7 linked regions of the Nothobranchius furzeri genome follow. The protein of the gene in region 1 interacts with the protein of each later gene in a biochemical or structural test. Links are inferred from orthologs where the notes say so. Each region holds a gene or a part of one and is shown in the gene's direction. Other genes may lie near its edges.

What was found.
Region 2: the proteins of nedd4a (region 1) and yod1 form a complex in vitro, tested with the Homo sapiens proteins (2 studies listed by BioGRID, with this or other methods). The link is inferred for Nothobranchius furzeri from reciprocal best matches to the Homo sapiens genes NEDD4 and YOD1.
Region 3: the proteins of nedd4a (region 1) and ubiquitin-conjugating enzyme E2 E1 form a complex in vitro, tested with the Homo sapiens proteins (7 studies listed by BioGRID, with this or other methods). The link is inferred for Nothobranchius furzeri from reciprocal best matches to the Homo sapiens genes NEDD4 and UBE2E1.
Region 4: the proteins of nedd4a (region 1) and mlana form a complex in vitro, tested with the Homo sapiens proteins (2 studies listed by BioGRID and IntAct, with this or other methods). The link is inferred for Nothobranchius furzeri from reciprocal best matches to the Homo sapiens genes NEDD4 and MLANA.
Region 5: of the proteins of nedd4a (region 1) and sqstm1, one has a biochemical effect on the other in vitro, tested with the Homo sapiens proteins (2 studies listed by BioGRID). The link is inferred for Nothobranchius furzeri from reciprocal best matches to the Homo sapiens genes NEDD4 and SQSTM1.
Region 6: the proteins of nedd4a (region 1) and plk1 form a complex in vitro, tested with the Homo sapiens proteins (2 studies listed by BioGRID, with this or other methods). The link is inferred for Nothobranchius furzeri from reciprocal best matches to the Homo sapiens genes NEDD4 and PLK1.
Region 7: the proteins of nedd4a (region 1) and map3k2 form a complex in vitro, tested with the Homo sapiens proteins (2 studies listed by BioGRID and IntAct, with this or other methods). The link is inferred for Nothobranchius furzeri from reciprocal best matches to the Homo sapiens genes NEDD4 and MAP3K2.

The regions. Positions count from the first base shown.
Region 1 is NC_091749.1:60,024,149-60,028,137, forward strand, and holds the start of nedd4a (E3 ubiquitin-protein ligase NEDD4), read left to right. Parts: upstream 1-1,189; 5' UTR 1,190-1,396; coding exon 1,397-2,686; intron 2,687-3,989. UniProt on the Homo sapiens protein: E3 ubiquitin-protein ligase which accepts ubiquitin from an E2 ubiquitin-conjugating enzyme in the form of a thioester and then directly transfers the ubiquitin to targeted substrates. Specifically ubiquitinates 'Lys-63' in target proteins.
Region 2 is NC_091743.1:71,972,352-71,976,453, forward strand, and holds the start of yod1 (ubiquitin thioesterase OTU1), read left to right. Parts: upstream 1-1,302; 5' UTR 1,303-1,382; intron 1,383-3,625; exon of another isoform or gene 3,626-4,102. UniProt on the Homo sapiens protein: Hydrolase that can remove conjugated ubiquitin from proteins and participates in endoplasmic reticulum-associated degradation (ERAD) for misfolded lumenal proteins.
Region 3 is NC_091745.1:63,686,867-63,690,841, forward strand, and holds the end of ubiquitin-conjugating enzyme E2 E1, read left to right. Parts: intron 1-461; coding exon 462-594; intron 595-2,757; coding exon 2,758-2,905; intron 2,906-3,235; coding exon 3,236-3,333; 3' UTR 3,334-3,475; downstream 3,476-3,975. UniProt on the Homo sapiens protein: Accepts ubiquitin from the E1 complex and catalyzes its covalent attachment to other proteins. Catalyzes the covalent attachment of ISG15 to other proteins. Mediates the selective degradation of short-lived and abnormal proteins.
Region 4 is NC_091746.1:53,502,367-53,506,456, forward strand, and holds mlana (melanoma antigen recognized by T-cells 1), read left to right. Parts: upstream 1-1,290; 5' UTR 1,291-1,397; intron 1,398-1,586; exon of another isoform or gene 1,587-1,638; intron 1,639-1,772; 5' UTR 1,773-1,776; coding exon 1,777-1,865; intron 1,866-2,015; coding exon 2,016-2,112; intron 2,113-2,527; coding exon 2,528-2,635; intron 2,636-3,052; coding exon 3,053-3,121; 3' UTR 3,122-3,657; downstream 3,658-4,090. Other genes in the region: uncharacterized bromodomain-containing protein 10, read right to left, coding at 3,979-4,090. UniProt on the Homo sapiens protein: Involved in melanosome biogenesis by ensuring the stability of GPR143. Plays a vital role in the expression, stability, trafficking, and processing of melanocyte protein PMEL, which is critical to the formation of stage II melanosomes.
Region 5 is NC_091741.1:64,353,292-64,357,533, forward strand, and holds the start of sqstm1 (sequestosome-1), read left to right. Parts: upstream 1-1,442; 5' UTR 1,443-1,673; coding exon 1,674-1,836; intron 1,837-1,998; coding exon 1,999-2,094; intron 2,095-2,165; coding exon 2,166-2,440; intron 2,441-2,557; coding exon 2,558-2,711; intron 2,712-2,820; coding exon 2,821-2,889; intron 2,890-3,562; coding exon 3,563-3,717; intron 3,718-3,793; coding exon 3,794-3,992; intron 3,993-4,076; coding exon 4,077-4,237; 3' UTR 4,238-4,242. UniProt on the Homo sapiens protein: Molecular adapter required for selective macroautophagy (aggrephagy) by acting as a bridge between polyubiquitinated proteins and autophagosomes.
Region 6 is NC_091744.1:8,886,495-8,890,722, forward strand, and holds the start of plk1 (serine/threonine-protein kinase PLK1), read left to right. Parts: upstream 1-1,428; 5' UTR 1,429-1,608; coding exon 1,609-1,962; intron 1,963-2,277; coding exon 2,278-2,446; intron 2,447-2,556; coding exon 2,557-2,701; intron 2,702-2,775; coding exon 2,776-2,869; intron 2,870-2,950; coding exon 2,951-3,173; intron 3,174-3,297; coding exon 3,298-3,340; intron 3,341-3,453; coding exon 3,454-3,551; intron 3,552-3,683; coding exon 3,684-3,761; intron 3,762-4,228. UniProt on the Homo sapiens protein: Serine/threonine-protein kinase that performs several important functions throughout M phase of the cell cycle, including the regulation of centrosome maturation and spindle assembly, the removal of cohesins from chromosome arms, the inactivation of anaphase-promoting complex/cyclosome (APC/C) inhibitors, and the regulation of mitotic exit and cytokinesis.
Region 7 is NC_091743.1:83,211,177-83,215,471, reverse strand, and holds the start of map3k2 (mitogen-activated protein kinase kinase kinase 2), read left to right. Parts: upstream 1-1,495; 5' UTR 1,496-2,335; intron 2,336-3,566; 5' UTR 3,567-3,584; coding exon 3,585-3,639; intron 3,640-3,896; coding exon 3,897-4,015; intron 4,016-4,150; coding exon 4,151-4,191; intron 4,192-4,268; coding exon 4,269-4,295. UniProt on the Homo sapiens protein: Component of a protein kinase signal transduction cascade. Regulates the JNK and ERK5 pathways by phosphorylating and activating MAP2K5 and MAP2K7. Plays a role in caveolae kiss-and-run dynamics.

The DNA.
Region 1 (3,989 bases):
AGAACTAAACCATCGATGTAGCATATTCCAGATTAGATGCTGCATACAAACAGTAACTGTTACACAGTGACTGAGAGGTTGGTTAAATACCTAAAAGTAAATAAACACAGCTTAAGAAACTAGTTCATCCACCTGCTGCACCTGCTGATTGATTTTTCCAGTCTTTACTCGAACCACACCTCTCTGACTCAGCTTGTAGTGACTACACAGCAGACTGGTTCTCTGAAAAGTTGATTAAATACCGCCTTTGTTTTTGTTCACTTTGATACCAAACTCATGGAGTTCTTAAGGGACGTGTCTCTGTATTATTGCCGCATGACGTCATTCTATATAAGCATTTGATATTGTATGGCCATTGCATTACTGTCACACGGTTCTGTTGGTTTAAAAAATAGGTTAGGAGTTCCACAGCGTCCTGCAGTGAGTCATGTCCTTATCCCGGCCGTGACTTCCATTATTATACTTTGGAAGCAAAGTAATGCCCTGAAATAGGTCAGGCAGCCTCACTGTTAATAAATTAAACTGTCAACATCTATGGAGAAGTAATAAGAGCAGCATTGACTGTTACATGAGGCATCAGATAACCAGTTTCATGACATTTATTTTTTCTTAAAACCTCACGTTTTTCTCATTAGGCAGCAGCTGTCCTGTTCCCTGCAGGAAATATTTAAAGTCACTGCTAAAACACTAAAAGGAGCTCTTGTGTTATCCTAATGAGCTCTGTGATTTACTGTCTGAAATGTGCTTTTGCAACCTGCTCCTTGGTTTGATGCAGAATTTTGTTGACATTCACTCGTTTGATTTCCTGTAATTCAATAGCAATGGGTAAAACTATTTGTGGGGCACAGAGCAGCAGAAACATTAGTAGCATAGCAGCAGCAGGAGTCCTGAGCGAATGGGCCAACGCAGATGTGACACTTTACCAGAGCTTCAGTCTAAAATGCAGCACGTTGGACTGTCATGCTTTTGTTTGTTTTTCTTTATTTTCAGAAGAAAAATGCTAATTTGTCTGTTTTTTTTTTTGGAGGCACAGTCGAGTTACGCTAGGCTTTTATTAGAATGCAAAGCTGAGGAAAAGGTTTTCCAATTATCTTTAGAGTAGCTTTGTTCTTCTTTATTGGGCCGAGGAATTTTAAAGGGGCTAATGGTTCGGTTTGAAAGGTCATGTGTTTGGGTCATGTCTCCAAACAGAACCACTGGCCTGCTCTGACTAAAAGCTGAGATCAGCCTGGAGAGGAATGTAGCTTGTCACCAGAGCTATTTTGGCAATGCGCAGCTACTAATGATTGTGATCACAGCGCATGGAGCTGTTGCGTTTGCTCTCGTTTTTTTTTTCCACCAGCAAGTTTGATCATGTACGTCTCGCCAGCCCTACAGGGATTAGTGAGTTGAACAAATGTCACATCAGCTCCGTTTGCATTTTGCGTCAAGGAGAAGCAACACGGACCCCCTGTCGGAAAGCCTCAGCAGCCAAGGTGAAGAGAGTGGAGTCAGTCTGTCGGCTCATGGCCCAGCGGAGAATCTGGCGCACAGCTCTGTTCACTTGAAGGTGACTCCTCTGTCACCAGACGTTGCCAGCAGTCAGTGCTCTTCAGTGTTCATACCCAGGGTTCACGCTGGAGGGTGTAATAAGAAGAGCGTTTTGCAAATTGCGCTGCAGCCCTGTGGGAAACTCGGTGGAAAACTGGATTGCAGTTTAGAAGATGGAGAACCAGGGGCTTGTGAAGTTGGAGCAGGTACCGGCTCTGACGGAGGTTCATGCAACAGCAGCATGGCCAGCGATGCGGGGTACTGTAGCAGCAGCAGCATCTTTGAGCCAGAGCTTCCAGAAAAGCACAGGACAATCCAGGAGAGGACTCTGCTTTGTCGCAAGTCCAAGGTCCCGCTGCGACGATGCTCCTCACTGATTATTATTCCGAAGAGCCCATGTAGCACTCCACCTGCTTCCCCAGGATGTGCTGTGACTCCGTTTGCTTACCCACTGCCAAAGGGTACTAATCAGTCACATCTTCAGACGTCTTTCAGTGATTTCTCCCAAGAGAAAGTAGGGGCGAGCTCCACTGTAGCAAGTGGACACCAAACATCAAAACGAAGCTGCTCATCTGAACTTAGGGACATGAAACACATGGTCCACTTTAATATTCCTCTACAGGATGGAACAAAATGCAAATCAGAAGGCAATAGCGCGTTGATGGAGCTTCCGTCAGCCTCAGACAGACCTAATCTTCACTCTAGCAGCGTGCTGCTGCATTTTGCCCACCAGAAACCAACAGTATCTACCAAGGGAGTTGTGGAAATGGTTGCAGCCAACGAAGCTCACCACCAAGTTCACCTATCTCAAAGGGAAAACATCAATCACAGAAAACTGTATCGCAGTACCTCTGCTTGTTTGTTTTCTTCATCCAAGCCATCAGAGAAAAACGATAAAAGCGGTTTGTCTGGAAAAGATCAAATCGGGCTTGGTGAAAAGCATCGTGCCATACAGAGGAGCTTTTCCCTCGAGGTGCCCTACCCTAACACTGGAATTTCATGCCACGTTTCTAACCCCGAGCTCTGCAGCCCTCGCTCCCCACATGTGCACATTCATTTATCCCCATGCTACCCCGGAAGGTTGCGAAGCTCTGTTACAGATGTTAAGAATCACAAAGAAAGTAATGCAGTAAAGGGTTCAGTTCAAAATGACAAGGTGAGTATGACATTTCTAACTCTTTAGAGGCTTTATATTGATCACCTAGTAGCCTTTTGTCAGCACTCTAGACCTGCTGCCACTGTTGTCAAACAAGTTTGAGTAGATTCCACTCCGTCATTGGTTCAGCCTCTCCTGCATCAATGTTCAGACATATCGAGAGTTTCTAATGAGTAGTATAAATAAACACCGCTTGATTAATTGTTTGTTGTAAACTTGCAGCTTTTAACTGATTGGTTGTTTTCATCAATGAAAATTTCTAAGTTCCAGTACACTGGAATAATGTCACCCTAAAGTCTTAAACTGTTTTTGCTTTGACTTTAGCATTAGACTGGTTACAAGACTTCTAGTAACTGAGAAGCCCTTTAACTTTAAGTCATGTATTTAACAAGCTGTGTGTGGACAAACATTCAGAGGTGTTCAGTTACATTACAGTAAATCCATCTGCATATTGGATACCAAGAAATGTGTAAATTAGAAAGACAGGTTCTCCATCTTGTGAATACCAGCATTCATCAGTGTGAAAACACAATTTCAGTAGAGTTTTCCACTTTTATTATTCTGTTAGCACTATAAGTGATCAGGTTAAGTATTTACCATGGCTATTTATAGAGTTGGGAAGCGCAGTGCCCCATGCCGATATAAATAAGGTGCCTCTGAAATATTCCCCCTGACTCCGGATAGTCTGCTGGTCTGTAGCACTGCCCAAAACCTGTGGATTCAAATTTAACAGCATGATACTAGAGTGGTGCACAGTCATGTCGGCTATCTGCGTACATGTGTGTGTGTGTGTGTGTGCTCGTTTCCAAGTAAACGGGTGGCGTGCTACCATCCCTGTGGGTCCCCCCACCAAGCAATGTTTGTGAAATATCAGCTGTCAGTCTCTTCCTGCGTTTAGCAGGTTGTCAAAGAGGGTCCACTTAAGACTTTTTAAATCTGCAAAGGTTTGTTTTCATATCCTTTTACTAGGGCTGAACGATTTTGGAAAACAATCTTAATTGCGATGTTTTCTTCAATACTGCAATTGTGATTGAATTCACGATTATTTTCTCAAGGGGTTTTTCTCATATTTTTCAACTAACGGAAGCAGAAAAAAAATGTAACTTGTACTGAATATAAACAAGTTTATGTATCTACATATGTATCTACATATCATATCAACAAGTTTATTTGTCTACACATCCATAAACACTCACAAGCCAAGACAAAATCTTGTATTCGAAGGTGCAATGCTTTGCAGCCAGGAGCACATCCCTTGAAGTCGCATAGGTATTGGCATCACCTGTGAAAATTTATTTGCAGG
Region 2 (4,102 bases), on another chromosome or scaffold:
ACTTGGACTGCCGGTACCCGTCAGCTGCCTCTGGAGTCCCACAGATCAAAAAGACCTGATAGGACTCTTTCTTCAGCTTGACAGCATCCCTAACCACCAGTGTCCACCAGCGGGTTTGGGGGTTGCCACCACAACAGGCACCGACGATCCTGCGACCACATCTCTGGTCGGCCGCCTCAACAATGGAGGCACGGAACAGGGTCCATTCAGACTCAATGTCCCCTGCCTCCCCCGGAACATTTTGAAAGTTCTGTCGGAGGTGGGAATTGAAGCTCCTTCTGACAGGAGACTCTGCCAGACATTCCCAACAGACCCTCGCGATACGTTTGGGCCTGCCTAGTCTGACCGGCATTCTCCCCCACCATCTGAGCCAACTCACCACCAGGTAGCGGTCAGTTGACAGCTCCGCCCCTCTCTTCACCCGAGTGTCCAAGACATGCAGCCGCAGTTCAGATGAAACAACAGCAAAGTCGATCATCGAGCTGCGGCCTAAGGTATCCTGGTGCCAAGAGCACATATGGACACCTTTATGTCTGAACATGATGTTCCTCATGGACAATCCATGACTGGCACAGAAATCCAATAACAAAACACCACTCGAATTCAGATCAGGGGGGCTGTTCCTCCCAACCACACCTCTCCAGGTCTCACTGTCATTGCTCACGTGAGCGTTAAAGTCCCCCAGCAGAACAAGAGAGTCACCGGAAGGAGCGCTTTCCAGCACCCCCTCCAAGGTCTCCAAAAAGGGTGGGTAGTCTGACTCTGAACTGTAGTTTGGTGCATAAGCACAGACCATAGTCAGAACCTGTCCCTCCACACGTAGACGGAGGGAGGCTACCCTCTCATTCACTGGGGTAAACCCCAACATACAGCTACCAAGATTTAGGGCAATTAGTATGCCCACCCCTGCTCGGCACCTCTCATCCACAAAAACATTCTTCCTATCTGGAATGGACATTTTGAATAGCCGGATCTAAACTCTCACTAGGTGATACATATACACTTCAGCCATTAATAGTAGAAATTCTACTATAAGTCCATGCCTCAGGTAAAATGGTAAACAGGTAAAATTAAAACATTTTTCCTATAGGGAAGTTGCTATTGTGGACTTCCTTAAATATAATTTCTACTGACAACACAACAGATCTGCTAGTATCTTTGTTGACAGTTTTGGATAATAAGAATACTATTACTAGGATAAATACTTTTTTTTTGAGGAATCACATGCTGCCAAATGCGGTTGATTATTAAATGTTAAAGTGGCTTGCCGTACTCCCAACTCTACGGCGTATAGCGTCATGACGTAATTTTAACGGCTATTGATATTGGTCTGTCGCTGGAGGTTTATTGTTTGGGGCTAGCAGGACTGCAGACAACGACAGGTATGAATATAATGTAACTGACTTTGTTGCTTCTTAAATTATATTCTATGTGAAATTGTTAAAATTAAAACTGACTTATTTCTTAGAGACTCAAATGATGCCGAGTCCAATAGTTAATTAACCAAAGCTAACTGCCAGATTAGCATGCTAACGTTAGTTCTAGTAACTTAAGTAGACAAGTGTTTTCTTTTTCTCCCTCGTCTGTTTTAAGGACAGCAGTTTGTAGCGAATTGACCAGACAGTTGACTGTTGTGAGTTCCTCACCATTAAGTAGTGTCCACTGACGTGAGACGGTGAGGTTTTAGCTATATGTGCTTGTTAGCTTGTTGTTGCTAATATTGAATGGAAGTCGTCAGTGTCCACTAGAACAAAGAAACAAACAAAGCAATACAGCTGTTGGGATTAAAATCCCCTCGTCGTCAGCACTTTTCTTGGTAAGTCCAATACCGGGAGCATTAAAATAACAGTAACAAAACAACGAGGAAGGCAATTCACCACCGTAACAGAGACTCACAAGCAACAGGAGAAAATCACTCTTAGTAATAATCACTGTTCGTTCGAAATATAGAAAAACTTCACCTAGATTTAGTGCGTGATATTAGCGAAGCATTGAACACAAACGTGGCATGGGTTTTATTCATAGGTTAAATTAAATTATATATTAGCAAGCGTGTTTTTATTAACACATTTTTAAGTATCTATTGTAACTAACTGAAGCAAATGTATACAGATTTTACTGTGATCATATTGAGAACATATAATTTATATTAACAAGATTACTAGATTTTACTTGAGAAAGGTGCAATAAGTAAGATTTTATAGGGAGCCTAAAGGCTGATTCATACTGACACTGCTCCAGCATGTCTGATCTGTTGGATCGCCATGATGAGACGCGTTGAAGACGTGTAGTTGAAGTAGTCACTCCCAGCATTCGGTGGTGCTTTAATGTTTTACATGCTTTTCATCGAGGCTACCCACAGTTTGGAAAGTTCCACAGTCGCCAAAAGTCCTTTGCTATGGCAGTCTACTGGCTTGTGGAGGGGCAGGTGAGAAATTCAGGCGGCAGTGCGGCCCACGACGCTTTGCAAACCTCGGTCACAATCCCCGAAACTGTGCTGGAACCCATTTTATAGCTCGCACCGACTGCCTGTTGGGGCGCACCAGAAGCGAAAACCCGCAGGGTAATGGCAAGTCTCTGTGCAGCATAAATTGGCATGGAATTTGTTCCCTGGTGCTGTAGAAGTGGTGCCAAACGACAAACCAGCTTATCGTATCGGGTGGCAGTCATGCGAAAGTATCTGAAATAGGGCTGCACCAAACGATTATTTGGATAATCGATTAATCGGATGGTGTCTCGACACGATTAATCGATTAATCGGATTACATGGGGAAATTTTTAAAAACTGCTAGGGAAACGTTATTTCTCTCCTTCCTTCACTTTATTTAACACAACATTATTAGAAAACAGTTCAATAGCAGAAAAACAACATGCCATCACCTAAATTGTCTTATAAGGTGTATAGACAGAGACCCTAAGCTACATCTATCTGTGACCTAAAATGCTTGGTCCAAGTTAAACAGCTTAAGGGCAATTCTCATCTGTTTTGTTTGATCTCATCTGTTGACATTTATTTTAAATGTAATTAAACATAGGCTGTGAATTAATCAAAATTGATCACTATTTCCAAAAATGACTGAAAAAATACCAAATAAAACAAAAGTAAATGAATGCCATCCTCCTTGCGATGATGCCTTGGGCAACTGCCATAAAGTCACATCAAGAAATGCTGCTGATCATTCCAATGATCCCAAATAGACTCACATTAGGCCACATGAAAGCAACTGAACCCAAAAATATATTAACCAGTATATAACTGCACTCTCACACAACACACCTGCAGCAACAGTTAGGACTCCTCCCTCCCTTTTAAAAGCATTTTTGCTTCTGAGGACATTGTGGTTGTAAAACCACATGCTAGTAGTCTGGCCCCGGTGTGATCAACCAGTTTCTGCGGGAATGTGACGGCGGAACCAGGGCCAGATTAACACTTTGTTGTACCCTGGGCAACAATATTCAAGGGCTCCATCATCACGACCCAAGGATCACCATAATGTGGTCACATACAGAATATTTTACTGTAATATGCAGTAAATATACTCAATACTTGAATTCCTGACAACACGTAACCCGCCCAGAGTAACCTTTGACCCACCTCGTGTGGACTGACCAATGAGGAGAGGGTCTTAACTTGAGGCCCTCTCTTCATTGGTCAGTCTGCATGAGACTGACTCTCAACTGACGTTCAGTCGTAGGCAGCGAAGCGTCTCTGTGCAGCGCAAAAGCCCGGGTGGACAGTTTGTTTAATGTAGGGTGATCATATTTCCATTTCCAAACAAGAGGACAGGGGATCTGTGCCTATGACGTCACACTATGGCAACGCCACACAAACCATGTTGGGACCCATTTTTTGTAAGAACTAAATTAATATCAGATTCTGCCAATAAAAGGGCTCTAAAACAATTCATATGTAAATATTTTGCATATTTAATGCAAAATCTAATTTTTCTGCTTTAGTGCTGCAACAAGGTTTTATTAATAATAAATTATTATACCTTTTGTTTTACTACAGCATCGGTAAGCTTCCTGTGCACAGATTATTAAGGATGCTTGTTTCAGCTGTGAGATTAGACGATAGGATCAATGAAAAAATAAGTTGTCC
Region 3 (3,975 bases), on another chromosome or scaffold:
GGCTGCTCTGTAAATAGTTTTCAAATAAACAACACACATAGCAACTTCTGATCAATCCATATCAATTTCAGATTTAAAATAATTTATTGATGTAAACCACACCCACTAATTTCCAAATAATAAATAAGAGGTGCATTCATCTGTGTATCTCCTTTGATCTGCATTAGTGATATTTTCAGCACCAGAACAGTGAAGCAAAGAAACAGATTCCTGAGTTTATTTTAGTAATTTTATTTATTAGGTGCATCTGATCTGTTCTATTCTCTGAAATGAGATCAAATCAGTGCTTCTATGGGTTGTCTCCTCTCTGCACTAGAAAAATTTACTTTATTATAATGTTCACTGTAATGCATCTTGATGTTCTTAACAATAAATTAAATCAAAGATATTGGTCAATGGGTTCCTAGGGGAAAAACTGGGAAACAGTTTCTTCTGACTGACTGTAATGTTCTTGCCTGCAGCGCCGGCCCTAAAGGAGACAACATTTATGAGTGGAGATCGACCATCCTGGGACCGCCCGGCTCCGTGTACGAGGGAGGGGTCTTCTTTCTGGACATCGCCTTCACGCCAGATTACCCCTTTAAACCCCCAAAGGTAGTGGTGTGTGTGAGAACTGCATTTTTAATTAGGAAACAGGTGGTTTTAAAAACTCCTACACACAATCGTGTCCAGGGAAGAGCAGATTTTAATCATCAGCTGACTTCGAGCAGGTGTTGCTGTACCCGTGGCTGTTTTTGTCTGTTTTTCTCTTATTCCATGAATTGTTTTTATATCTTTATATTAGGCTTGGGCGGTATCCAAATTTTAATACCGTCAAGCTTCTGCCTTATTTGACCAAGATGTACGGCGTTATTGGGACTAATTTAAAAACTACGACATTAAACCTCAAGTGGAATTACTGAGCTGTTGGTTTGGACCTTCACTGTTCAGAAACTGAATAACAAACACTATTACTAGAACAATAACAACATAACACACATAATATTAACTTTTAAACAGCAGCTTATAAAAAGACCTTTTGCCTGAAAAACCAGCATGTTTACCAGCTTCAACATAGGACGTTGTGGACTGATTGCTGAAAACCTGCTTCGATGAGCTGGTGGCACCGACCTACGGGTACTGTAGTCGAGACATCTAGGGAAGGCTGGCTGTATATTTCTACCAGAAAAGCTTGTTGTCTCTTTTAATAACAGGCTCCAGACAGAAGTCAGCTATTTCAGCCACGGCTCGCTCCTCTGCTTTGCCGATGGGATGTGCGTCTTTCACTGTCATCATGTTTGCACTAATAACCTCGTCAGTGTTTATTGGCTCTACTTTTACGTTTTCAGAAGCATACTTTATGTCATAAAATAGAAAAGTGTAGCGCATTTAGATACAGTCATTAGAAAAGAATGTTTTATGTACTATAAATAAAGGGATTGTCTGTAGACACTAATATTTGCTGTAGATTAGTTCAATGTATTGTTGGAGAGTCCCACAAACAGGAAACAGCTGGACTTAAATCTTTTATTAGAGGTTCTTTTGGACACTGCTTGTAGTGGCCAAGTGGAGCGGATTCTTTTTTGACCAGATGAGTTTAAACTGAACAAACTTGGTCTGTCTTCAGGTTTCTGTTGATGGTTGCTAACGGCAACGCAGAGGTACATTTCTGACTTTACCGCATCTGATCCCAGAAATCTAGAGATGGATGTTTAAATGGTTTCCACTGTACCACACAACCAAAGGACCATGATGAAGTGATCGAGTACTCTTCTGGTAGCAGCTCATTAAATATGCAGGCGGAGCTCGCTACCGTCCCAGTAACGTCCATATTTACAGCCCAGTTTCCCCAGATAACGGCTCCTTTATGGACTTTTCCCTCACAGCAGCAGGACTCATGCATCTGCGTTGTCTGTGTTGTACAGAAGGTGATGGGGTGTGTGTGTGTGTGTGTGTGTGTGTGTGTGTGTGTGTGTGTGTGTGTGTGTGTGTGTGTGTGTGTGTGTGTGTGTGTGTGTGTGTGTGTGTGTGTGTGTGTGTGTGTGTGTGTGTGTGTGTGTGTGTGTGTGTGTGTGTGTGTGTGTGTGTGTGTGTGAGAGAATCACTGACTGTTGACAAACAGCTGATTCTGCATCACGCACTGATAAAGAGGTCTAAGCAGCCTCTGGTCATATTTAACACAATGACAGGTTTTTTGTTCTGGTGTGCGTGTTTTAAACATACAAGCCTGGAGGCTTATTTTAAGCATTAGAACTGGGACTGGTGGCCTTTTTAATTTAAGGATGATGAATTATTTGTGAGTGCCTCCTAACAACCTCTGACCCCTCAGTCAAACAGTTTCAGGACCTTTTCTAATAGTTACCCAAAGGAATCTGGAGCATTTATGTAACTTTACTTTTTTAGGGATCATTTCTTCTCGGACAAGACTATTGTTTGTGTCTGAGGTGGTCTGTGACTCTGGAGTTCTTTATCCCATTTCTGAAGGATTTAAAGACTTGAGAGCTTTTTAGCTTTAAAACTGAAAGTCTCTCCAGTACCTGGGTTCAGCCACTAGGGGGGCTTTAATCTCCAGTGTTTCAGCTCTGCTCCACCTTTAATTCCTGCTGCATTCAAGTTTAACAACCACTATTCTTTATTTTTAAAGTTTGACTTATTGTGTTAAATCAGTTATGAGAGGAAAATATCATCAAACGCTCATATTTGAGGCTTCCTGGCGATTTTATAAAAAAGCATGCGAGTAGATCTGAAAATAATTTTCCAACCTGCTTGTGTCTGCAGGTGACGTTCCGTACGAGGATCTATCACTGCAACATCAACAGTCAGGGGGTGATCTGTCTGGACATCCTGAAGGACAACTGGAGCCCCGCCCTCACCATCTCCAAGGTGCTGCTGTCCATCTGCTCCTTGCTCACAGACTGTAACCCAGGTGAGACCACAGGCTGGGTGGCTGGATCTCAAGCTTCCAGCTATAGTTCATCAAAAATGCTGGATGCCCTGTCCTTTCGTTGTGTTTTGGTTTACGTCTGCATCAGGGATGGTTTTCATTACATCTGATTTCTGTGGGTTCAGCTCTTTCTGTGTTTGAATCAAAAACAATCCAGTTTTGGTATAAATATACAGATTATAGCTTCAGAGATGGAGATGTCACTCATTCCCACAGAATAAATCTCTAGTCTTGTGAGATTCCTTTTCATTAAAACCTTTTTCAGATTTACAAATTTGTTTAAAATAAACATTTATTTTCTTCCCCATGCAGCCGATCCGCTGGTAGGAAGCATCGCCACCCAGTACACGACTAACAGAGCCGAACATGACCGAACAGCCAAACAGTGGACAAAGAGATACGCCACATAGACCCGCTGGGTAGAGGAGGAGGAGGGGTGGGGTGGTTGTGGGTTATTTCTATCTCAGATTTTTAGTACTTTATTGTCTGGTCTATGTTTTGCTCCCTGATTAAGTTATCTCCACAAATATGGTAATAAAGGAACTAAACGAACATCCTGTTTTGGATTTTATTTACTACCCCCACCCCCCACCCCTCCCCAAGCTGTTTTTGCATTGTTACTGTGTATTTTGTTAAAGTGTGAGGAGTTAGAAACTCAAGGGCATCACGCTGAGACCTGCTGCAGCTTTTATTTCAACCCGCTGATTAAACTTTCCTGTTTCAGATAAAACTCGTTACTCTGATGTTTGATTTGGAGCTGCGGCTTGACGCTGTTTATTGTTTGTATGTAGATAAACATCTTTGGGGTCAAAGTTTTTAAATGCTGACCTGGTGGCGAAGTGACTAGTTAATAATAGTGAGTGCTGAAGAAAGCGGTTACCCAACATAGCCCGTGATGAGTCGGGGGGTCAGAAGGGTCATCCATCTTCAGGTTTCAGGTCAACACCAGAGTTCAGCAGGAAACGTTCACGCTGCAGAAGAAGCTCAATAAGACAATGATTTTTACAGCTGGATGCAGTTTAAGACCAAAGTAAACATTCTGGATGACAGTA
Region 4 (4,090 bases), on another chromosome or scaffold:
CAAACAAATACTCTGAGGCAACCAAGTGTTTGACTGCTAAAAAATATTTTGTTAAGAGCAAGGCCAGATTATTGAATGGCTGTTACGGTAACTATTGGCCTATGAAAGGCTGGATCATCCAGTGGCTAATTTGGGCACAGACCCAGGGGCCCACTTCTACTAGGGGCCCGTGCAAAACAAGATTATCCAGTGGGTAATATGGGTACAGGCCCAGGAGCCCACACGGGCCCACAGAAGACCAGATTATCCAATGGTATTATGGGGTACAGACCTAGCGTCCCACCCATATGTTCCCATACAAAACTGGATTATCCATTTTGGGCCCAGACCTTCTAAAGGTCTGTGCAAGGCCGGATTATTCAGTGGGTAATATGGGCACAGGCAGAGGGGCCCATTCTAGGAGCCAATGCAAGGTTGAATTATCCAGTGGTACTAGGTTCATGCTCAGGGTCTCATGCCTAATAGCAGCCCATGCAAGGCTGGGTTATCTAGTGGGTATAATGGGAACTAGGAGTCTATGTAAAGCTGGATTGTCCAATGGGTAATATGTGCAGAGCCCAGGGCCTCAAGCCCACTAGCATGCAAGGCCGGATTATGCAATGGATATTCTGTGCACAGGCCCAGGGGCCCTTGCCTACTAGGGGCCCGTGGAAGGCCAGATTATCCAGTGGTTAAGATAAACTCAGGCCCAGGGGCCCAGTTTCAGGAAGAAAATAAAGGGTTGTTTTCAACTTTCCATGGTTGATTGTGATCATATGTGCTGGTAGATCACAAGACATAAAAACGTTGTGCCCGGGGCCCTCTGCCATTATAATCCAGCACTGGCTAAGAGCTATGAATACACTTACAACCCACAATCGGAACCATCAATACAAAAACAATAATAAATAAAATAAATTGAGCTTGAGGTACAGCATTCTCTCTAGGTTTAAAATCATGTTGTGGTCTCCCTCTTGTGGACAAAAATAAAATGGTTTTTCTCATTTCCACCCAACTGATTTCACTATTGTGGAAATAATTTGAACATTTAAGACATTTTCTGCACAATAGAATGTTTTCAGAGTATAAGCCAATCAAACTGGCTATCAACATATATTTGAGAGTGATTAATTGTCCACACATACACACTCACTTCTTCACATGAAAGGCCAGCAGCTGATGTTTGGAGTTTCACGAGTGAGCAGAAATGAAGCTTTTTGGGCTGCAGGGCTTCACGGTAATTACTTCATTTCAATGGATTTAACCATGAGTCTGGAACCCGTGACGGTCATGAGGGGGTTCTGCCCCCCACTGCTTTCTCGAACACCAAGTGAAATGACTCAGAGCTTCTCAGACCTAGTGTTGAGAGCAGGCTTTCAAATCAGGACAGGTTTTCGCTGACATCCAAGAATAATTTGGTAAGAAAATGTACCTTTTGTCCTACGTTTTCTCTGGAAAAGAATCAGGGATACGACTGGTCCTTAAAGAAAATATTTAAACTTAACTAGAAACTAAGCAGGCTGCAACAGGTGTCTGTTCTAAACTGGAGGGACTTACCAAAGGCTGCTATCTTTAAAAATTGACCTAACTGACATTTCACTTTATAGGACTACTTTCACAGTGACTTGGTGACTCCAGTGTAGTTTTATCCAATAGGAGGTCAGAATTACTCTTTAACTGGATACTTTTGTTTGGTTGTAATGACAGCAAATGTCAAAACATTATTTTTACTTCTATTAAGCTAAAAAAAAGTATTATGTTGCCCCCTGAAGTACTCTCCTGTTGACTTTCAGCTTGATGTTGTGCAATCGTACAGACGGGATGCCTCGTGGAGACTTCAACATCTATTTTGCGAGTGGTAGAAGAGGAAACGTTCGAGCTGAGGAGTGTGTTATTTTCTATTTATGCCGTTTTACACCGGCAGGTTTCACACACACTCCTGGTGGTATCTTAGACGTTTGCACTCTGGTTTACAGGCAGTAAAAACAAATGCTGCACTAAAAAACAACTAAAAACGTGCTGTCGATTCATTCCAGAGCGGTGGGCATTGCTCTCCTGGTGGTGATCCTTGCAGGCCTCTTCATTCTGGGCTGCTGGTATCTCAAGAAGAGGAGTGGCTACAGAATAATCAGGGTGAGACAATTATCTTCACTTTAACTATTTTTTTTTGTTATTCCATCTTATCAGCCTACATATTTAAAAAGTAAAACCTGCTATTTATAAATTCATTTATTTAGTTGTAGTTTGTTCTTTCTTTCTTGTCCCTCTTCTACAGCAGGGGCGTGTCCAGGGAGTGGCCTGGGGTAGCACATGCCACCCTTAGATTCTGATTGGCCACCCCAGGTGCCACCACACTAATTTGCCTTTAAATAGGCTTTTCACTGTCCACATAAAGCTTGGGGCTAAAGCAAAAAATAAAAGCATAACCATTGGTGCCACCCATGCACAAAGTTGTGCCTCACCTGGGCCACCCCATTTTAAAAGATCTGGACACGCCACTGTTCTACAGTAAATTAGTCTTTTTCTTTGTTTTGTTTTTTACCTGCAGAACCCAAGATCTGGATCACCAAGTTTCACAGGAGGACAGTACTCTGAAGCCGGACCTTCAGCAGATAACAAAATGCCTCTCACTGACTTTGGGAGTTTCCGATCCGCGGTGAGTCAACTTAAATAAATAAAACAGCTGATCTTATTTACAACTGCTGAGCAGTCTTTTGTACATATTATTCTTTAGCAGCTTGAATACAAAAACACGTGAACATTTTGCTAACATTCAGGACAGAGAGCCCTTGTTCAGAGTTGTGAGCAGCATAGAGCATGTGAAGCGAACGCAATGCAGCAGATGCCTGAGGGAGATTATTTTGTCACCAGGCTAGGCAAAAGGTATTAAGAATGTCTCATTCCCAGGGAAGGCAAGAGAGCCAGAGGATCAAATCAACTTATATTCACTACTACTACTTTACTATGTGTGTATGTCATAATGCAATTACAAAAATCACCTTAACTAGAATATATGATCAGTAATGTTATAGAACTCCAGTAATCATTTAATTTAAACTTTCTATTTTTTTAGGTACCAAATGCTCCTCCTGCCTATGAAAAAATCTCCTCAGGAACACTCCCACCTCCTTACTCCCCGTGAAAGATGGACAACTACAGGATATATGGAGAAATGGACAACACTAAGACCAAACTAAGAACTTATTTGATGAAATAAGACATTACTGTCAATGTAGTTCCTAATCTTTAGTTTCAACAAACAAATGCAAAAAGACCTCACATTCTGGCTTGATAAGAATCTCAAACATGCTTGTTCGGGACAGTTACAATGTTTATTTTCATGTAGAAATGTCCACTGTTGTTAAATGAAAATGTACCTAGTAAATATTACTTTTGAAATATCTATAATGGTAAAAATAAATAAATGTGACTCTAAAATATTTACAGACTCAGACATGTAGTACAAATCCACGCATTGGTTAAGACTGCTAGAAATGATAAATGTAGTTTTCAAACTCTTGCTATTTGAAAAGAAAAAGAAACCATGACAAAAACACGTAAAAGGATGTAGACAGCTGTATTTTTTCTGAACAAATCTAGAAGAGCAACTTGTAATAATGAATAGTAAACCGCTGGATATGTCTTGAACCAATATCTAATAAAACTGCAGAAGCTCAACTTGAATTTTTTTTTCATCTACTTCTCACCTTACGGATTTGTTGTATTTACTGGCCATGAAGTGAATCCTTGCAAGTTTACAACATTCGTCTCAAGAGGATTCAAGTTGCCACTTGACAAACCCACAGCATACAATTTCAGTATGAAAACACAAGTTCATGTGGAAAATCATTTAACCAGAGGGTAAAATACTCTGCCTAAAATATAAGATGACTCAAAGTATAACTGGAAGTAGCTATTGGTAGAGGGAACAAACAGACATCCTGCCAAAACGAAATGAAAACAAAAACAAAAGAAAATCAGTGTTCTCACTTCGCTGGCTCAGTGCTGTTCTGTTGGTTCACTGGTGTCTGCCCGAAGAGGGTGTAAAGAGGAATCATGTGTTTGTAGTGCTCCAATAGAACTGTTGGAGGAAACCACCAGTGCATCAAGA
Region 5 (4,242 bases), on another chromosome or scaffold:
AAGGATGTGTAAAATATTAATGTTTTTTTCTCTCTTTTATTCAGCACATACATACCTGCTGTAGGTGGAGAATAGGCCAAAATAAGCATTGCTTCTGCCTATTCCTTTTTTGGTTGTAATTCATGACGTTATCGTGATGTATCTTAGTTGTTTGAAGATCTTCTCTGTAAACATGACAACCAAAATAAAGGATCGATCAATCAATAGCCTGGTGCTGCCCAGGATAGAGAATTGCTTTGGATTGATCCAATCAGCTGGTTTCTATTATAGAAGCAACTTTGACTGATTGGAGATGTAAAACCTTATGGACCTGATTCTGGTGCAAGGTGTTAACTGGTTTAAATAAATATTTGTCTCAATGTCTGTAATTCATTCAGTTACCTGGTTTAAAAGTGGATTCATTTGGCTATTAATCAGTCTCACTGGAAGAACCTCACTCTAGCTCCAGGATGCTGAGAGCACTGATGCATTCTGGGATTGTTTAACTTTGTTTTAAGAACAAAAAGAAATCCAAGCATGCATGTTTATCATTGGACCAAAGCAATAAAAACAAATGATTACAATTAAATAATTGAAATTAAATGTTAAATTAATTTTACCTTAAGGTTGTTGAAACCTGATTATGTAATCAGAGCTCTTTATACAATGTAGTCAGAAAATATTTAGCTAATTCTTCCATTAAAAATCTTTGATTCTATAAATTGTTTTTAGTCAAGCTGACAAAACTGAATAACAGTTTCAAATGCAGTGACTTTCACTACATTGACCTTTAAAGGCTTTAAATGAGAGGTTTGGGTGGTTTTCAGCTTCATCTTGTGATTCTGAGTCAGCAAGTCATATGACTCATGCTGCTGCTGATTGGCTGCAGCGGCTGGGTGACATCACAGATGCAAACAAACATTTGATCAAAACAGAAGCTCATGAGACATTTGAAAAGAGTGATGCAAGGATGACTCAGGTGTTTGAGGAATACTGAGAGTTTGACTTATGTTTTACATTTCATATCCCATCTAATTGTTTACAACTGGACAGCAGAAAATCAGCTTGAATCTGGACTGATTAGAGCAGGATTTGCAGATTGCTTTCGTTTTAGCTGTAGATTAATTCTGTAAAAGTGTGTATGGGTTCTTGACTCTGTTGTAGTAATTACGGACTGGGGTTATCTTCAGCAGATAATTAACAGAAAAAGCATGTCGGGGTTGAAACCAAAGCTCAGTTAAAACACACACAAACATGCATGTTTATGTTTCTCTGCTGGATTTCTAGACCTGCAGTTGCGTTCTCAGCTGGATCCACTCATTTAGGATTTTCATATTTTTTTATTAATAAACTACAAATCAATCACTTTTCTAACAAATAAAACAATGTGCCACGTCACAATGACTAAGCGGCTTTCCCAACTAACACCTGCTCACGTGACTAGTTGGAAAGTCCCTCACCGTGCTGTGTAAAAAGATGTTTCTAGACGGCAATGGTCCCTCATTAGCGGAGCTCAATGAGGACCAATGGGAGGCTGTGTGCGTCTTTACGTCATCTTAAGACGATGACATAGAATGCGGAAGTAAACATAAAAGAGGCTGAAATTTACCGCTGCGTCACAAAGTTCTAGAGTTTGGTTCTCCGTTTGGTTGTTTTTCTGTCTCTGTTCGGAGTTTGGTTCGATTGAGTTCGTAATGTCGGTGACGGTGAAAGCCTACTTGCTGGGAAAGGACGAGCAGGTGAAGGAGATCCGCAGGTTTGCGGTGGACCAGGACGTCTCTTGCAGCTTCGAGTACCTGAGCAGGAAGGTGGCGGCAGCTTTCTCCAACCTGAGCAACTTCAACCTATTCTACAAGGGTGAGGCGCTTATATCAGAGCTGGTTCTGTTTCAACCCAAACACTGACTGGATTTCTGCTGCGTGTCTTTCTGGTTCTGGATTGTTTTTAATATTCTGATGAATGATGTTTGGTGCCACCTGATCTGTGCTTGGACTTGATGTTTGAGTTATGGTGTTTTAGATGAAGATGGAGACCTGGTGGCCTTCTCCTCTGATGATGAGCTGATGATGGGACTGGGTTTTGTCAAGGACGCCACCTTTCGCCTCTTCATTAAAGGTAAACAAGTCGTCTTCCTGTTATTTCTTTGTAAGGTTCCATCTGACTAAAGTTTTGTTGAACTCTTGCAGAAAAGAAGGAGCACCGCCGGGACTTCCCTCTTCATGCATTCCCCCCTTTCGCTTTCGGGCTCCCTCATCAACATGGACCTCCTCATGCCCCACCTCCTCACCCGGGCCCGCCCCCTGCCGTCCATCCCAACGTCACCTGTGACGGCTGTGAGGGCCCTGTGGTCGGAACGCGCTTCAAGTGTTCAGTGTGTCCAGACTACGACCTTTGCTCCACCTGCCAGGCTCGAGGGACCCACACTGAGCACCCTCTGCTGCCCGTGTGGCACCCTCTACAGGTGAGTAACCTGGATGACAGGTGTCAGAGCTCAGGTCACCACTGGCAGGTGTCAGAACAAGTCACATTTCCTGATTAAAATGTGATAAATCGGTGGTTTTCTTAAAATTTTATTTAGCAGTGGTTTCCTCGAGGAAAATGGATGAAAAAGATGAAACACTGCACGTGGAACCAGCACATGGCCCAGGCACAGACCCAAAACCAGGACCAGAACCAGAAGCAGGAGCAAACCATTCCCTCCAGCTCAGCATCTGACTGCAGCACCTCCTCTGGTAGGTGATGTGAACAGATCTGTGTTTATGTACAAACTGGTCATCAGTCAAAAGGAGTCCAACTCAGAGCCATTGTCCAATAACAGAGACTGACCTCTGACCTCTGTAGCTTCTCAGGTCAGCGTGAACTATTTGAAGAACATTGGCGAGGGCGTGGCTGCCATGCTGAGCCCACTAGGTGAGTTGTTTTACCTGGAGATGTTTTTAATGTGCAATAAACAAGAGGGAACTCATCCTAATACGCACACGAGTGTCATTCAGACATTTAAAGTCATTTTAAAGTGCTGTTCTGTCAATTTAGATTCCAAACTACTGTTTCTAGGAATAGGAAGTCCTCTGACCAGAGCATTACTTTTGGCTAGCTGGATCTGTGACATTAGAAGCTAATTTCCAGGATTAGCCAGAAGAAAAACCTCAATGTCCTGCTTTTCCTAATTGGCTGCTCCACTTGGGCAGAGTGAAAACCCAATGGCACACAGGCAGTAGCAGTAGCATAGTATTTCAAACGTTATTAGAATAAAACAAACAGCATAAACTAAAGAAACAATCTCATGTAAAATTGTAGGGCTTTAAAAACTGCTAATATAGCGTGCTAACGCGTCACTATGGGTTGTTTTTAAACACCAGAAACGATGTATTATTTCATTACCAAGCTGACTAGTTAGCCTCTGTTCAGAGGAGCACTTTGTTTCACCTTCGGTGATGTCACCTGCAGGCAGTGTCTGTACTGTAGATATATGACCTATTGACCATCCCTTCAGAAAGATCAGAATATCACATTTAACCGTTTCTATTAAACTTCCTGACAACAGAATCCTGATGAAGTAGGGACTTTATCTGTGCATGTGCAGGTATTGATGTGGACATCGACGTGGAGCATGAGGGGCAAAGGATGAAGGTGACTTCACCTACTCAAGGTGAGGAAGAGCAGGGTGAAGTGCAGATGGATGTGGGAGCTGGCGAAAGTGGAGCCAGCAATGAAGGTGGAGCAAAGCAGGGGCCAAAGGTCAGTCTTCCTCAGACAAAAACTAATAGATCAGTCTAATTAATGACAATTACTGACCAAATACACAAATCTGCAGGTGGGCCGAGATGAAGATGATGAGTGGACTCATCTCAGCTCTAAAGAGGTTGATCCATCTACAGGTGAGCTTCAGTCGCTGGAGGGCCAGGGCTCAGGCCCAAGTCCAAGTCCAGGTCCAGGTCCAGCTCCTCTGTCAGGGACCGAGGAGGGACCCACAGGTCTGCGGGAGGCAGCTCTTTATCCACACCTGCCTCAAGGTGAGTTCAGATTCTGCGGTTCAAGTTTTTTTTTTTTTTTGGTAGTCCTGTCCCTATTAAGCCCCTCCCCTTTGTCCCCCACAGAGGCTGACCCCCGCCTGGTGGAGTCGCTGGCGTCAATGCTCTCGATGGGTTTTACAGATGAAGGCGGCTGGTTGACTCGGCTCCTTCAGGCTAAAAACTTCGAGATTGGAGCTGCACTCGATGCCATCCAGTACGCCAAGCAGTCCCACCCACGCCAGTGACATCA
Region 6 (4,228 bases), on another chromosome or scaffold:
CTCACAGCACCCTTGAGATTCCAGTGAGCCAAAACTGTGGAAGAAAAGAAGATGAAACATGGAGGGAGGTAACCTACTCTACTTTCTTTGTGCCCCTCTGCAGAGGACGTTCAGCTCTCTGCAAAATCCTGTGTAATAAACTAAATGTGTGTAAATGTTGACCCATACAAGCACAGACAAGCTTACTTCATTTAGTTTTCCCTACAGCATCTTCTGTGTGTTGCCATGGAAACACATGGCAGCAGAAGAGAAGGATGAATGTGCAAAAATGGAACAGACACATATAAGCCAGCAATCTCCACACATCACCCACCAGTCGGACTAAAGCCTGAAGACCATTTATAAACAAACACACAAAGTGAAAAAACAAAAAACTGTAAAACACACATATTTTAAAGAGTGTGTGCATAGTAAATAGTCCCTATATTAAACATCCCCCCTTATAACAAAGTCAAATCAGCCACTAGCTGTGCACTCTTACTTTTTGTTTTAATAACTATGGGAGGCTTCAACAGAAAATGATTCCCTGGAAAAAGTGTTGTGGACTGAAATTTTTATTTTAAGATGATGTTACCTATTTAATGATTAGACATTTATAAAGTTAATTCTAGACCATCATGACAATAATCTATTTATGATCTCATTATTTACAGCTGTGAATCCGTGCTGTGTCATATGAAGTGCTTATTGTGTGATTGGTCTGAAAAAAGTGCTTTCTCAAGGAACAATAATTGTGAATTTGTCCACTGCTGCCACCCAGTGGAATATGTGTGAAAGTGAATTAAACTATCAATAATGTAATTTTTTGCAACATCATGATTTTCTCAATTTACCTTTTAACTGTAGAAATACACAATTTAATAGTTCTGTGCCGATATCGTTTTTGCAAACATGCTTTTATTACTCAAAACGTTTGTGCATTTCGTCTTATTTTATTTCAATTTTCGTTTTTATTTTGACCACACTGTCGTTTCACTGTTTTATCCAGTTTAATAATATGATTACATGTTAAAATTAAATCCTTCTTGGATTCTGGATGACGATAAAATCAAGTAAAATCTAACACTAGTCTACATTTACCATCAGCCTTTGCGTTAAGGAAACGCAAGACGTCATTGAGCCAATCACGATGTTAGAACTTTATTTCAACCCCGTTGATTGGCTAGTTTTGCATTTTTCTTCCCACAATGCTTTGCGTAGAATTCAAATCAAGTGGACCAATGAGAAAGCGCCGTGGCGACAGAGCGAGCATTTAACTTAATACTAGAAACTGTTTTCGAAGGGCAGAACAGAACACAGGAGACGCCGCCGTCGGACACGTCTGCTGAATTATTCCATGAGGAAAGCAGATTTATTTTAATATTTATGTCTATATATGTCGTTTTATAATTGTAGAACCTAATGTTAATTATCGCTTGCTTTCAGGAAGTCTAAACTCGTGATTAGATTTAAATTCAGACGTGTATGGGAGAAAGTTAGCTAGCTAGGCTAAAGTAACGTCGGTTGTGTTAGGGTTAGTAGTTTGATTCTTGTAGTTTTCACCACGTTTACTGCGCGGAGAGAAAATAAACATTCCTGTAAGTTCATAGAAGACAGCTCTAATACAAAATGAGTGCTGGTACCGCAAAGCCGTTGGAACGTGCGGATCCCAAATCGGCACCTCTCAAAGAAATCCCAGAAATTCTCGTTGATTCCCGAACCATGAAAAGATACACGAGGGGGAGATTCCTCGGGAAGGGTGGTTTCGCCAAATGCTACGAGATCACAGATGTAGAGACGAAGACGGTGTTTGCTGGCAAGATCGTAGCTAAGTATTTGTTACAAAAGCAGCACCAAAGGGATAAGATGACCTCGGAAATCGCCATACACAAGAGTCTGGATCACGCTAACATCGTCGGCTTCCACGGGTTTTTCGAAGACGATGACCATGTGTTTGTGGTCCTGGAGATCTGCAGGAGAAGGGTGAGTACGATGGAAGGAAACCAGCTTTTCAGTGAGGTTTAGAGCCGACGGTTAAACACTGCGACATCTTCCGTTGTCCTCATGTTTAAATAGTGGGAAGCAAGCAGTACCAGACTCATTTAACACCTCACAACTATTTGATCTTTGATAAAAACATCTTAAAAAGAAACTTCTAGCCTATAAATGTGGGTTTATTGGTCCAGTACCACTCTGGTGGCCCCATGTGTACCATATGTTCAATCTTATAATTAAACGCATAAAAGATCACTCTTTTCTTGAGCTGTTGTCTTGACTGTTTAAAATGCTTTATTTCAGTCCTTGCTGGAGCTGCACAAACGCCGCAAGGCTGTGACGGAGCCTGAAGCTCGCTACTACATGGCCCAGCTGCTGAAGGGTGTCCAGTACCTGCACAACAACAAGGTCATCCACAGAGACCTGAAACTGGGCAATATCTTCCTCAACGACGACATGGATGTCAAAATTGGTACTCCACTTGCTTGGACTTGTAGCTTGCACTAGATCTTTTGTTTTTATCACGTCGAGAAGGATTTGAATCAAAGCATGCCTCGTTATTACGTGTTCTCTCTTGTTTAGGGGACTTTGGCTTGGCGACTAAGATCGAGTTTGAAGGCGAACGAAAGAAGACTTTGTGTGGAACGCCCAACTACATAGCACCAGAAGTGCTTTGTAAAAAGGGCCACAGCTATGAGGTCGATGTCTGGTCACTTGGGTGCATATTGTAAGTACAGGCCCACAAACGCAACTCATTTGAAATGTCCCAGCTGTGAAAGCTTCCCTTTTCTGTTCTTTCAGGTACACTCTGTTGGTGGGCAAGCCCCCGTTTGAGACCTCCTGTTTGAAGGACACCTACAGTCGCATCAAGAAGAACAACTACACCATCCCCTGGGTATGAAAATCAAACTGAATGCACCGTTTTCTTTCTAAAATTAAGTTAATAATTGAGTCGTATGATCTGAACAACCTGCAGCACATCACCCCGACTGCGGCGACTCTGATCAAGAAGATGCTGCACGCCGATCCTGCACAGAGGCCAAGCGTTGCTGAAGTGCAGGCCGATGAGTTCTTTACGTCCGGCTACATCCCCCTCCGTCTGCCCACCACGTGTCTTACTGTACCCCCTCGGTTCTCCATCGCCCCCTCCACAACTGCAGAGCTCAGCCAGCGGCGTCCTCTGACTGCTCTAAACAAGGGTAATGGCGATCAAAATGAAAATCTTTGTTTTTATTTTTCCTAGGCAATGATGTTTGAGTTGATCCACATAGATTTTATTAGTCTTGTTTTAGATGTTAACGTTTTTTTTTTCTTTGTTCCCAGTTGGTACGGAGAAAACGGAGGTGAAAGACGAGCCTATGCAAAGGTGTTTTTCATTTATTTATCACATGACAAACATTTTATAAAAATTCTAGTTCTGTTAGTTTTTATCTTTTCTTTGCGTAGATGTTGTTAACCTTTAAATGTGTGTGTGTGCAGGGCGGCTGAACCATCAGAGCCCTACCTGAAAGACATGCTGCAGCAGCTGAACAGCATCATGTCCACCAAACCCTCTGAAAGGGCCGTCATCCAGCAAGGTTAGTGGACGTGTCTCACTTCGTCTTTACCGATCTTGTGGAGTCTCTGTTGCTATTTCTCTGAATTTTGTCAAAACGGATGCGGTTATCTACTTTTTAATCTACATCTAAGGTTTTTTTGTGTAATTCCAGAGGAGGCCGAGGATCCTGCGTGCATCCCCATCTTCTGGATCAGCAAATGGGTCGACTACTCTGATAAATATGGATTAGGTAAATGTTAGGAGACCGTTTGTTTGTTCACATAAGCTGCAATTTTAACTTTGTAAGTTTGGTTTAGACTATTAAAAGTATATACAGGGTATCTGCAGGTCCATAAAAAGTCTTAAATTAGCTTTTCCAAATTTAAGGCCTTAAAAATCCTTAAAAATGACAAATAGTCCTTAAATAGTTTCCAACGGTCTTAAATTACCAAAGACCCAATAAACAAGATTCTTTTATTTCTATAAAATTTTCATGAATTTCTAGTTAGTTTGGCATTTTTTGTGTATGATATTGGCGTAAGCGGAACCGTACACATTCGGTTGGTTGTGAAAGGGGGCTATTTTTAGATGAGCATGCTAGTGGGAGTTTGCACCATGGGGAAGTGCAACATTAATGGTAAATGGATGGCTAATCCCACGTTCACGACCTGGTTAGCACCGGTTCCAGGCAATAGCTGGAAATTATAGCTTAAATTT
Region 7 (4,295 bases), on another chromosome or scaffold:
GACATTAGCCGGAAGTGACGAAAAGACGTTTTTTCACAATAAAACTCCCTTCAGATTAGAGAAACAATAGTATTTTTTATATTTTTATGCTGTTGTTGCGCTTCTAATGAAAGCAGTGAACAACAAATATTTTTAAATAATATTTAGATAAAATGTTCAAACTATCAGAAGTAGCAATCATTGTCTAAAAGTAATTATAATCATTTGCTCATGTAAATTCAAACAAATTGCAATGAATAAAAAAGTCTAATAATCATTATTACTGCATTTATCTGAAAAATCATACAATGAGGCGCACGTTAATATGTTGATCCCATCGCAAGACACAGTTTTAGTGTTATTGATCTGAAGTGAGCGGTGTGTTTAAAATGTGATCAAATTAATTCCATCTTTTAGTTCTTTTTAAAACACAGAAAGATTTTATTTACCTGCAACGTTTCGTTTGCGGCTGCAAAACCCAGGTAAATAAAACCTTTCTGTGTTTAAAAAAACTAAAAGATGGAATTAGAATTTCAACACAGCAAGAACACACCAAAGATAATCAAACGAATTGTTCTTCTTGCAGCAGAATTTTGCTGTTTGGGAATATAAAGTGGTAAAATTATGCGTTGAATGCACATTTACACATAGTGTTTAATGAAACAATTTAAATTTTATCATAACATGACTGGATTTGACTGCAAATAACTGAACTAAATTGGAATTAATAGGGGTCAAGTTAATCACTACTGAATGAACTTGGACCAGCATGTAATCAATTCAATTCAATTCAAAAATACTTTATTAATCCCAGAGGGAAATTGATTGCTGTAGTAGATCAGAATAATAATAATAATCAAGCCATCAAAGATTTGTTGTATATTACAATGGCTGTTGGCAGGACGGATCTCCAGTAGCGGTCAGTGTTGCAGCGAAACTGAAGAAGCCTCTGACTGAAGACACTCTTCCGTTGTCGGACAGTCTTGTGAAGAGAACGCTCAGGGTTGTCCATAATTTTCTTGATTCTCTGGAGAATCCTTCTTTGCATTATCTCCTCCAGCGGTTCCCGAACAGCCGAAACTCTGGCTGAGTCCTTGAAAGGGCTTGGAGTTCCTCCATCTTGTTGACCAGTGATCTCACATTGCCCATTATGATCGATGGAAGAGATGGTTTGAATTTCCTCTCTCTCTGTGTCTCCGTTTTGCTCACGCTCTGCACCCACGCTTCTTGCATTTTAGCTCATTTGGGATTTGTGGCTTCAGTTGAGGTATTATTTCAGCCTTTCCAATGTTAATCAGCTGCTCCCGATTGTAAACCAGCTTGTTGCCATGGTTACACATCATAACAAATGCTCAAAAAGTGAAAAAAGCTAAAAAAAATAGCAGTAAAAATCCTCCAAGCTTCACAGCACCAGAAACAGAAAAGTAAAGTGTCCAAAAAATAGTTTTTCTTGAGAAACTAGAAGAAAAAATGCTAAAGAAAAGGCTAAACTTACATATAGTCAACAGAGCTACTCCAACATGCAGCCACCCAGAGCAGCGCAGTTCCGGAAAAAAAGTCACTGGAATGAATCAGATAATGAGTGGGCCTAGTGTGTTTGGAACAGCAAGTCACACTGGATGGCATTTGAATGACCTGAATTGACCTTGAGTATCGTTTGCTTTGAATTTAAATTATGAGGAAATGTGACTTGTCTAAACGGAAGCTTAATTTATACTATAAAACACTGTGTTTACAACTTATTTAATAAATTGGAACTGAAATGAAGCTCCAAACAAATGCTCAAAAATCTAATAAATATTTTTACTTGTCATGTTTGTATGATGTTTCTGTTGGACCCTCAGTGAGGTTAGGGGTTAACACTAGTTAAGCTTCTCAAAATAAAAGTACTTTCGGTTAACATTTGTTTCAAAATAAAACACAGAACGCCACTTTGCCTTCCACCACGAGACGTGCTGCTTTTATTTTATAAACACGGCGTAATTATTTCCGGTGTGTTTTTAATCGTACATGTTAGCTCGATGAAACTAGGGGTCAGCATCGAGCAAGGTACAGTTAAGCAGGCTGTGTAGCACAACAAAATGAGATCTGTGGATTGAATTAGCCTTTGAACTGTCGCACTGGAGTGTAGCGTGCCGAACATAATAAATATCACCCTGTCACTTCCCCTCCTGGAGAGACGAAGCGGCTGAACCAACAGCTACCGGGCCTCGTCGTCGTGGCCCAGCAAGACTCGAGTGAAGTTGACAGCGGACTGACAAACTTCTGCTTCCTCCAGCGGCTCTCCACAGGGCCCGGGGCTCCTGTCACCGGTCCTGTGGTTGAGGAAATAAACCGAGATTAAATTATTCATCAGGTGGGATTAGGCTGAAGACAAAAACAATCTCACTTCGTTCATGAACTGTTCCAATAATTGTGCAGCGCGGGCGAGTGCTGGTTAGCTCGGTTAGCCCAGCGGCTAGGAGTTAGCTTTAGCGTTTGATTAGCCTGATAACTTCCCTTGCCTGACAGCTAACAGTGGAGTCATTACCATTTCATCCCCCAAAACCTGCTGCTTAAACAACAAATTGTATTTTTCAAGAATTTCATGTCAAGATAGCAGCTATTTTGAAATGTTATCCTGGCATGAGTCGTAATGTAAAATTAGCTAGCAACAGTTGTTAACTTCCGGGGCTTATGGGTTACAAATACAGTTATCTTCTAAAGGCTTTAATAACAACAATACCATAAAGTAATTAAGGCAATATTCTTAATATTCTGAGAAATAATACCTGTGTGTATTTCTAGTTGGAATATTAGTGCATCTGCCGTTCCTTAAACGTTTTAACTGATTTAAAATTACAGGTTTGTGTTTTGTTTTTGCGTCAACACCAGCCAGCTTCTGTGTTAATGATGCCACTTTAGTGAAGAATTGCCAACACTATAATTGTCTGTGAAACTTGTGTTCAGGTGAACCTACAGAGGTTTCCATACATCTTTGAACACAATGAAACTGTATTTATTATAAAGCAGGTAGCTGCAGATGTAGTATTATAAGCTGTTTGGTAATAAAAACGGCCAAAAAGCCAGAAAACCTCTGAAGTCCATGTTAAGAATAGTTTCCATAAAGCATGTTATGTTTCTTGTTGCTTTTTGCAAACACACCTCCAAAATAAGCAACAGTAGAGCTTCTTGGACTCTACAGGTGAGTTAGGGTGTAAAAAAATGAGCTCATAACAGGATGAAATAAAAGAAGACAAGAATGCTCACTGCATTTAAAGGCAACCAAAAAAGTAACTTCACCCCCATATTTGTTGAGAAATAAGGATTTTTGGTTCTGCAAAAATCAAACCAAGTGACGCATACGATGAGCCAGTTTCAGTGTCATTCCTGAATTGGATCATAGGAACAAAACAATTTTCCACAAGATTTTGTTCCCTTAAAAGACATCAGAGCAAACATTTCCAATAATCCCCATTTATGCATTTTCTTTCTGCCTCTGGCTCACCAATTACAGATCTGCGGATCAGTCAGCAGCTCCATGCTTTCTAACTTGCGTCTTCATTAAACTGAATGCTATTATTTATCCAGTTGTGTTGCTGTTTCAGGAGAAAGGAATCCCTTTGATGGGAGAGTCTTCTATCCTGGCCTCCTGGGTCAATTGCCGTGCCATGATGATGGGTATGTGTGCGAGCTTTGTGATCATGTTACAGCTGGCAGAGAGCCAGCTGAGTCTTTTGTCTAAAAACTTAAATAATCTTTTTTTTCTGTAAACAATGTCTCTTTTTCTATTATGACATCTGTTTAAGCGACGAGTCATGAGCTCCTGCTGGGGCTCATTTGTTTTTATCTTTTAGGTTTGCGATTGTTAGCATAATGATCAAAGTGTCACTTGTTGCTGTGGATAATCTGTAAACCCGATTAATTTATCTTTGCAGATGAGCAGGAGGCCCTGAACTCCATCATGCAGGACTTGGCCGAACTGCAACGCTCCAGCCGCCCTGCTACCTTCCTGTCGGACCTAGGCAAACCCAAAGCCTCCTCGCCCAAGAACCAGGTAACCACAGAAATGTGATTTGGACATGAAGTGTGAGAAAAGCTCAACAAAGCAAACATGTTTCTGAGATCTCAAAATAAAACCCACGTCGTCGTCCCAATGGTTTTTATGCTCAACGTGACTTTGTCTCCACAGAATGATGTGAGAGTGAAGTTTGAATTTAAAGGAGAGAAAAGGTAAACATTTGTTCTCTAATGCTGTTCCTTCAGACCAGCAGCAGCTGCAGCCTTCTGACTTCTCATCTTCTCTGCAGGATCTTACAGTTTCCTCGACCCGTCAA